Callithrix jacchus: one gene and its partner. The protein of the gene in region 1 binds, or shares a complex with, the protein of each later gene. Links are inferred from orthologs where the notes say so. Each region holds a gene or a part of one and is shown in the gene's direction. Other genes may lie near its edges.

Region 1 (4,112 bases):
TGGAACAGTCACCTCGTACGGGCCCACGAGCTCTGTAGCTCTAGGCTTCACCTCATTGGGGCCCAGCGGCCCCGCCTTCGTGCAGCCCCTGCTCTCAGGTGAGGGGCGGCGTGGCAGGCAGTGCTGGGGACCCAGGGTGGGGCTGAGGCAGTCTGGGCCCTAACTTGGTCCCCTGCTTCTCCTTTTCTGTCTCAGCAGGCCAAGCCCCACTGCTGGCTCCCGGTCAGGTGGGCGTGTCGCCTGTGCCCAGTCCCCAGCTGCCATCTGCTTGTGCAGCCCCTGGAGGTCCTGTCATCACAGCATTTTACTCTGGCAGCCCTGCACCCACCTCCTCAGCACCCCTGGCCCAGCCATCCCAGGCCCCCCCAAGCCTGGTCTACACTGTGGCCACCAGCACAACTCCACCTGCAGCCACCATTCTGCCCAAGGGCCCGACTGCCCCTGCCACTGCCACCCCAGCCCCAACTAGCCCTTTCCCGAGTGCCACAGGTAGGTGTCAGATCAACTCACAGCAGGGTGAGTTGGGGGGCCCAGCAGATGGGTACCAGTCAGGCCTGGCTCAGCAAACGCTTTTCTCCCCACTAGCAGGTTCCATGACGTACAGCTTAGTGGCCCCCAAGGCCCAGCGGCCTAGCCCGAAGGCACCCCAGAAAGTGAAGGCGGCCATTGCCAGCATTCCTGTGGGGTCCTTTGAGGCAGGTGCCTCTGGACGGCCTGGCCCTGCACCCCGGCAGCCTCTGGAGCCTGGCCCAGTCCGAGAGCCAACTGCCCCAGAGTCTGAGCTTGAGGGGCAGCCCACACCACCAGCCCCTCCACCCCCACCAGAGACCTGGACTCCCATGGCCCGGAGCAGCCCCCCACCGCCCCTACCTGCTGAGGAGCGGACCAGTGCCAAGGGTCCTGAAACCATGGTGAGCACCTGCAGGCTGTGGGGTCCCCACTGGCACTCAGCTGTGCCCCTCCACTGGTATCTTTGGTTTTTTGTCCTGCTTCTCTTTCCTCCATGCCTATGTGTTTCTCAGTTTAAAGGGTCCCCTCTGTCCCTTCTGCTTGCCTGTATTGGCTCCCCTTCTGATCTGAGACCCTGTCTTGTCCTTCCCAAGGCTGTGTGACTGGGCCTTCTCAAGGGGTCTGCCGGTCAGTTTCAGATTCAACTCTTTGTTTCTGGCCTTTGCCCCAGAGTCTGAGCCCCGTGTTCTCCATTTCCCTACCCATCTCCACCCCAGGCTAGCAAATTCCCCAGCTCATCTTCAGATTGGCGCGTCCCTGGGCAGGGCCTGGAGAGTCGTGGGGAGCCTCCCACCCCTCCCAGCCCAGCTCCAGCTCCAGCCGTAGCTCCTGGTGGCAGCAGCGAGGGCAGTGGTGGGCGGGCGGCCGGGGACACCCCTGAGCGCAAGGAGGCGGCTAGTACTGGCAAGAAGGTGAAGGTGCGGCCCCCGCCCCTGAAGAAGACCTTTGACTCTGTGGACAAGTGAGCATGGGCTGGGGCCTTGGTGGGGTGTGTGGGGTGGTGGGAGTGGGAGCAGCTGCAGGCTGAGGCAGGGGAGGTGACCCTGCTGGCCCTCCAGCAGGGTCCTGTCAGAAGTGGACTTTGAAGAGCGCTTTGCAGAGCTGCCTGAGTTTCGGCCTGAGGAGGTGCTGCCTTCCCCTACCCTGCAGTCTCTGGCCACCTCACCCCGGGCCATCCTGGGCTCTTACCGCAAGAAGAGGAAGAATTCCACGGGTAGGGAGCGTTGGGCATCCAGGGTTCATAGGTGAAGGGCAGACTGGGACCACCTGCACTGAGCCTGTTTCTGTTTTGGCCAGACCTGGATTCAGCACCCGAGGACCCCACCTCACCCAAGCGCAAGATGAGGAGACGCTCCAGCTGCAGCTCGGAGCCCAACACCCCCAAGAGTGCCAAGTGCGAGGGGGACATCTTCACCTTTGACCGTACAGGTGCCGTGGTGGGCAAAGCTGTGGCGGGCCCGGAGCCTGCAAGAGGAGTGGGTCTCTGGGAGGCAGTTAGAGGGAGAGGTGGGGTGGGTGTCAGAGGCAGGACAGCAGGTCAGGGTTCTGGAGTCTGGCAGGCCCCCGAGTTGCCCTGTGACTGTGGGCAGGACTCCTCTCTAACTCCTCTGTGAAATAGAATGCAGTGAGGGCTTGGGTGGGCACTCAGACGGTGACAAGACTGCTGTAGCCTTGCCATGCTGCCTGTGCCTGCGCAGGTACAGAAGCTGAGGACGTGCTGGGGGAGCTGGAGTATGAGAAGGTGCCGTACTCCTCCTTGCGGCGCACCCTGGACCAGCGCCGGGCCCTGGTCATGCAGCTCTTCCAGGACCATGGCTTTTTCCCATCAGGTGAGCGTGTCTTAAGAGTTTTGAGGTCATTCGGGTGGGACCTGTCTGCACATCTCACCCTGTGGTCCCTTCGTTTTTCTGCCTCCAGCCCAGGCCACAGCCGCCTTCCAGGCCCGCTATGCAGACATCTTTCCCTCCAAGGTTTGTCTGCAGTTGAAGATCCGTGAGGTGCGCCAGAAGATCATGCAGGCAGCCACTCCCACGGAGCAGCCCCCCGGAGCTGAGGCCCCCCTCCCTGGACCGCCCCCCACTGGCACCGCTGCTGCCCCTGCCCCCACTCCCAGCCCCGCTGGGGGCCCTGACCCCACCTCGCCCAGCTCGGACTCTGGCACAGCCCAGGCTGCCCCGCCACTGCCTCCGCCACCAGAGTCGGGGCCTGGCCAGCCTGGCTGGGAGGGGGCTCCACAGCCCTCCCCCCCACCCCCAGGTCCCTCCACAGCTGCCACAGGCAGGTGAGGGACCCCTGAGAGGATCCCAGGACTCACAGTACCCCCTCAGGACATGGACAGTATGGGGGCAGGAAGGTTATCTCCTCCCGGGTAAAGCCATTTCGTCCTCTCCAGTTTGGGGCGGAATGAGGCCTGCTCCTCTTGTATATACCCCCTTCCCCCACAGCTCCCTCCCGGTGCTGGGGGGCAGCTGAGAGGGCCGCAGGGGCAGTCTCCCTCCTGAGCCCCTGTACATAACCTGGAGTGTGTGACCTTCAGAGCTTTTCACTTTATGCAAAATGGCTCCTGTGAGGGCTGCAAGCTGGAGGGTGGTGCAGGCCTTGGGCCACAGGGAGGCGCCTGTGGAATAGGGGGGAGTTCATGCACCCCTTTTTTCCCCAGAGGGGCTGGACTCAGGTTAGTTTGGGGGTGGGGGCTCCTGCACTTTGCCACAGGCACGGGGAGGGTTTTCTCCTCACCCCCTCTGCCCTCCCAACTTGGGTTGTACTTTCTAAGAAGGTGATTCCCCCTGCCTTTGCCCCCTTTCCCAGAACAAAACATGTTGATCATGTGCAATATTTCTTACTGTGCCGAGAAGCCGCGATGAGCGAGATTAAAGCTGTTTAACACACCTGTGTGGCTTTGGGCTCTTAACGGGGAGGGCTGTTGGTTATACAGTGGCTCATAACTGTCCTCAGTTGTCATGGAGCTGTAGACTTTCCATGAGGTTGGGGGAGCAATACCAGGAGGACTACCTCCAACATCAGAGGGACCCCATGGGCCAGGTCCCTGACATGTGGACCAGGCAGCCCCTCCCAGTTTAGGAGCCCATGTGCTCAGGGAGCCTCAATGCTTTTGGGCCCTGTTCTCAGCCATTGGACTGCATGAGCTTGGGGAAGGCCTGAGGCAAGATGCCACCAGATGGTTTACCCTCAGTCTCTGGTGTCATTTGTATTCAGGAAACAGGCCCCCAAAAGTCCTAGTCCAGAGGTGGCAGTGGGTGGCAGGAGACGAGGGTCCTCCTTGTGACCCTTACTGCCCCCATGTTGCCTGGGTCAGCACTGCAGTAGCTTGTAGCCTCCCCTGGCTGACACCCCTCCCACTCAGCATGTAGACACAGTGCCCACCTGAGATGACAGATACAGTGTGTGGAGGGATGACAACTAAGGGTGGGAGGGTCAGGATACCTCTGTAGAAGTGGCATCTAAGCTACAGCTGGAGCACTAGAAATTTCCAGTTGGGGCAACAGTGTATGCAGAGATGGAGGGGCAGGGTAGGGTGGGCTTCACAGTACCGGGTCCCTGTGTTCACAGAATTCTTGACCTTGGTGCTGTAGGGTAGTGCT
Region 2 (5,395 bases), on another chromosome or scaffold:
TCCTGATGACTTTTTTTGTGGGGGGCGGGGGGGAACGGAGTTTTGCACTTGTTGTCCAGGAGTGCAGTGGCGTGATCTGGGCTCATTGCAACCTCTGCCTCCCAGGTTCAAGCAATTCTTCTGCGTCAGCCTCCCAAGTAGCTGAGATTATCAGCGTGCGCCACCACGCCCCGCTAGTTTTGTGTTTTTAGTAGAAATTGTGTTTCACCTTGTTGTTCAGGGTGGTCTCGAACTTCTGACCTCAAGTGATCCACCCACCTGGGCCTCCCAAAGTGCTGGGGATTACAGACTCGAGCCACCGCTCTTGGCTCTCCCTCCTGACTTCTTACCAGATACCAGTACCCTTATTTGGAAAGACTTTCAGGGAGCTGTGTCAGTTTGGGGGTTTTGGTCTCTAATCTGTGTTTTCACAGTAATTTTAAAAATCTTACACATTTATGGCCTATATTCTATCTGATATTAATAATATTTGGTATTGATAATACAAATAGAGCCTTGATTATTTGGGTAAGACATGAAGCGGAATCCATTATGTCTTCTAGCTGGGCTAAAGTATACATCTTTACTACTGATAGTATATGGAAAGACAGAATTACTCTGTACCTGTTGTTTCCTTCACAGAGAGCTAGTGGCATCTGATGAACAACCATGATACCTGGCTGAAACTCCAGGGTGGAAGTAATGCCCAAGTCCCTTTATAAAAGCCCACCACTATAAATCCTACATAATGGCTGTATGCAAACTAGTAGTCAAAGTCAATCATTTTAGAAAGGAAAGGTTTTGGTTAGCTCCTAAGTGGCTGTGTTTGTAATGAATGCAGTAGCTGTTTGGCAGCTTTCTGAATCTTTGGAAGGCCCTTGGTCCATAAGTCCTTGTGAACACCCACACATCTAGCATGAGAGACTAGTGCTAGAATGGAAATTTCTCTGTTCCCTACTCCTCACCCTAAGCCCATGTTCTAGTCCGACTTCTCTCAGCCCCTGCTCTTACATATCTACCACATTTAACAGAGCACTAGATGAGTAGCTTACCAGAGCTGGCACCTTTTCGGAGATCCTCTGGAATTTCATTGTAACTGACTGATTCACTTGGAGGAACAAGAAAAGTGAGAGGCATCTTATTTTACATTAGAGTTCCTTGGTGTGGGTACAGGCAGAGGTGGTATTTCTCTCAGTATGAGTACTGTGTTTGCCTTCTTTGATAGTACTTCTCAGAATCCGTTCATTTAAAGATAGCAGTGACTCAGTCAGTTTGAGATGTAGAACTTTTTTGTGACTTTCTCGCCATTGCCTCCTGTTCCCTCCCTCTACCACCACCCTAATTCAGTTCATAAAAATAGTTTTTAAATTGAAAGTCATCCATAATATGTAAAAATGGTAATAGAGAAAAATATTAAAGTAATATATTTTTAAGATTTGAGTGTCGCAATTTTTTTTTTCCTTGAGACAGAATCTTGTTCTGTCACCCAGACTGGAGTGCAGTGATGGGATCTCTGCTCACTGCAACCTCTGGCCTCCTGGGTTCAAGCAGTTCCCTGCCTCAGCCTCCCAAGTACCTGGGGATTACAGGTGCCCGCCACCACGCCCAGCTAATTTTTTTTGTATTTTTAGTAGAGATGGGGTTTTACCATCTAGGCCAGGCTAGTCTTGAACTCTGACCTCGTGATCCATCCCCCTTAGCCTCCCAAAGTGCTGAGATTACAGGCATGAGCTACTGCGCCCGGCCTCAGTTTATTAAATAACTATTAAAATTATATTGGTGATGTTGAGCACAATACTTAACATCTGATTTGTCTTTTTTTTTTTTTTTTTTAGTTAAGAGTGTAGTGATGCTGGAGCATCACTTGTCACATCTTGACATCACTTGTCATACACTTGTCACAGTTGCCTTTAGTTTGGGTATGCCCTTAATGACCTCTGTTGCCACACTCCTGTCTCAGCAACTTTCCAACTTGAGCCACAATTTTGATACTCATTACTTTTATAATGTATAAACTTCTAGGACTTCAACACTTAATTTTATACTAAGAGTGTGTGTGTGTGTGTGTGTGTGTGTGTGTGTAACTTCCTCTGGCCTCAGGCCTTTAAATACATTAAAATAATTAATTTAAAATCTTTTTTAAATTAAAGGATTTTAATTATTTTCCTGTTTTTTGTTTGTTTGTTTGTTTTTGTTTTTTTCTTTTTAGAGACAGGATTTCTTTCGCTATCTCTCCCAGACTGGAATGCAGTAGCACGATCATGGCTTACTGAACCCTCTACCCCCTGGGCTTAAGCCATCCTTCTGCCTTAGCCTCTCAAGTTACTGGGATTGCAAGTGTGTGCCACCACACCCGGCTAATTTTTTTAAATTCTTTGTAGAGACCGGGTCCCATTATGTTGCCCAGGCTAGTCTCAAAATTCTGGGCTCTCAAGCAATCCTCTTGCCTCCACCTCACTTCCCAGAGTGCTGGGATTATAGACATGAACCATCACACTTGGCCTCTGTTTATTTTCTTTAAAAATAACGTATGGGCCAGAAGCAGTGACTCATGCCTGTATTCCCAGCACTTTGGGAGGCTGAGGTGGGCAGGTAACCTGAGGTCAGGAGATGAGACCAGCCTGGTCAACATAGTGAAACCCCGTCTCTACTAAAACTACAAAAATTAGCTGGGTGTGGCAGTGTGCACCTGTAGTCCTAGCTGTTCAGGAGGCTGAGGCAGGAGAATTGCTTGAGCCCTGGAGGTGGAGGTTGCAGTGAACCAAGAACACACCACTGCACTCTAGCCTGGGCAACAGAGTAAGACTTTATCTCAAAAAAGAAAAAAAGAAAAGAAATATGTGGATGCAGTGATTGCATTTTGTTAAACCACTTCTAAACAGATAAACAACAAGAGAGTTATTGGTTAGAACTGTGTTTTCTAAACATTTGTATTTTAAATCTATAAACAGCCTTATTTTTCTTTAGCATTTATGTGAATTTGAATCAGTCTTGTTGGTATCATAGATGGTATTTTTATATAATATTAATTGATTGTATTTGTGGTTATTTTTCCAAAATGTAAAAAGGATTCTTTCTCTTCCTTGCTTTAAAATGTTCACTAGTTTCACTTTTCCTGGAGCAGTACTTTTCAAACTGTGTACCTAGGTTGATACTAGCTAACATTTACTGAGCACTTAATATGTCACACTATTCCAGACTTTGACATCTGTTACTGGTTTTATTCTCAAAACAAACCAATGATGAAGTAGGTATTAGTATCTTAACATTTATATGAGAATTTCATTCTGCTTTGTAATATTTAATATAAAAAGGTTTCTAAATGAATGACCTAGCATCAAGAAAAATTGAATCTAAGATTTCTATTATATTTGTTTTTTGTGACTTTTTATACTCCAAGGCATACCCTGTACGTCTAGAAGTGAGAATTTCTTTGTATGAAATTAACAATAAAAGACATACTCCAGAATTCTAAGTTTGTTTTAAAATTACATTTAGTAGACCTAAAATTATTTTATTTGCTGTGCAAGTTTTTAAACCTCTTACTCTCAATTCCTGTATTTGCCTTGCTTTAGATGGACACTTGCCTGCAGTGGGCACTGAGTAGCACTGTTCTCCCACGTACTTGATGTCTTAAACATTGTCTTTCCCTTCCCTAAAATGAGTGCACATCCTTGTTTTCTGCTTGTTGCTTTTCTACTTTTCCTTCTTGACACTTCAAATACTCTTTCCCTGGGAAGCCTGTCTAACTGGAGGCCATCTCCAGCAGAGCCATGTACTCCCTCGCTGTGCTTCCATAGCACTGTATTCACCTTCTCTCTTAATGCTTGGTGTGTAGTTGGTATGCTTTACAGACTCTGAGCTTCTTGAGGGCAGAGACCTGATTTTAAGTCTTCTCTATATCTATTATAGTCAAATACTTGGCACCTAGCGGTGTGAGTAAATGTTTGTTGAATGAATAGATGAGAGAACAGACAGTGTCTTTCAAATTACAATGTGTGGTGTAATCTAGTATTACCATTAGAAATTATAGGCTACATCATCATTTAAAGCCTCCCAGGGCGACAACCTAACCCCTGCCCTAAGAACATGCTTCAAGTCCAGGCTGATATGGTATAGTATTACTGTAGTAGTTAATGATTGAAATGCCCGACAAGCAGAAGTTTGATCATTTAATGATAATGTGCAGCAGGCAGAAGTTCAGTGCCTAATGTTCCCGTGTCTTATTTATTTCAGGAGTTGCTGGATAAATACTTAATAGCCAATGCAACTAATCCAGAGAGTAAGGTCTTCTATCTGAAAATGAAGGGTGATTACTTCCGGTACCTTGCTGAAGTTGCATGTGGTGATGATCGAAAACGTAAGTATATTTGTTATATGGGCAAAACTAAAGTACAAAAAAAGGGGACAAACAGGTCACTGTGACAATATATGTAGCCTCCAGGCTCTTTGTGATGTAAAAATAATTGAACATACATCAAGAAAATTAGTATTATCTTACATTCTCAAAAATGAAAATTGGGTCATAAATTTACATCATGTGCCCTTTAAAAGAAAGACTCATCTATGAACTTTAGTTATAATTGCACATGGTATTACTTAAAACAGGCATAATCTTTCATGCTTTAGAATTTTGGTTCACTGTGCTCTTTCCACCATCTTTCCGCGCCACCACAGTGGTCCACATAAATGTCCTGGCTGATGCTCTCGAGCATCAACGATGCCGAAAAGAGGCAAACACCAGGTGCTTATTAGGCCATGCTCCAAAGTCATCATCTGGTTTCTCATTGTGATGATGAAGCATGGTTACATTGGCAAATTTGAAATCATTGATGATCACAGAGCTGGGAAAATTGTTGTGAACCTCACAGGCAGGCTAAAGAAGTCTGGAGTGATCAGCCCTAGATTTGATGTGCAACTCAAAGGTCTAGAAAAATGGCAGAATTTACTTTATCCTGCCAGTTTGGTTTCGTTTTTAGCTCCAGAGATTTTTGCGCAAACTTTATGAGTCATTCTGCATTTCACATGGCCTTTTTGTCATTATGCCTTAAAATGCAGATAACTGAAATTACTCATAGAACATGGAATCAGGATGTTGTGCCTTTTCTGTTTGTCATATTAATTCATTATCATCTATTTTAAGGGGTCATAACATTGACTGCTAATTACATGTAATCAAATTTCTGAGGAGGAGAGGTGAGATGAATATGTTATTGCTGGTATATTATTGCTGGTATATTGCTGGTTTATTGCTTCACAGTAAATTTGAATGACCCATATGGTTAGGTTTTACTTGAGAAAGTTGAATACACAGGAATTGATGATTAATCAAGTAGTAGTCATAAAAATAGATTTCAGTATTAAATGTCTATTTTGTTTTTACCTAGACTATCATAAAAAAACATGGATATGGGAA

Evidence for each region. The genes of interacting proteins can lie anywhere in the genome.
Region 2: the proteins of CIC (region 1) and YWHAQ are in contact, whole or in part, in a crystal structure (PDB 6KZG), measured with the Homo sapiens proteins. The link is inferred for Callithrix jacchus from reciprocal best matches to the Homo sapiens genes CIC and YWHAQ. Residues at the interface, in NP_001291744.1 of Homo sapiens: Arg1207, Ser1208, Met1209, Ser1210, Glu1211, Thr1212, Gly1213, Thr1214; in NP_006817.1 of Homo sapiens: Lys49, Arg56, Lys120, Arg127, Tyr128, Gly169, Leu172, Asn173, Val176, Tyr179, Glu180, Leu216, Ile217, Leu220, Asp223, Asn224, Leu227, Trp228.

The regions. Positions count from the first base shown.
Region 1 is NC_133523.1:37,329,112-37,333,223, forward strand, and holds the end of CIC (protein capicua homolog), read left to right. Parts: coding exon 1-98; intron 99-195; coding exon 196-489; intron 490-585; coding exon 586-911; intron 912-1,226; coding exon 1,227-1,471; intron 1,472-1,568; coding exon 1,569-1,723; intron 1,724-1,806; coding exon 1,807-1,938; intron 1,939-2,207; coding exon 2,208-2,339; intron 2,340-2,427; coding exon 2,428-2,795; 3' UTR 2,796-3,398; downstream 3,399-4,112. UniProt on the Homo sapiens protein: Transcriptional repressor which plays a role in development of the central nervous system (CNS). In concert with ATXN1 and ATXN1L, involved in brain development.
Region 2 is NC_133515.1:105,386,273-105,391,667, forward strand, and holds part of YWHAQ (14-3-3 protein theta), read left to right. Parts: intron 1-4,215; coding exon 4,216-4,339; intron 4,340-5,395. UniProt on the Homo sapiens protein: Adapter protein implicated in the regulation of a large spectrum of both general and specialized signaling pathways. Binds to a large number of partners, usually by recognition of a phosphoserine or phosphothreonine motif.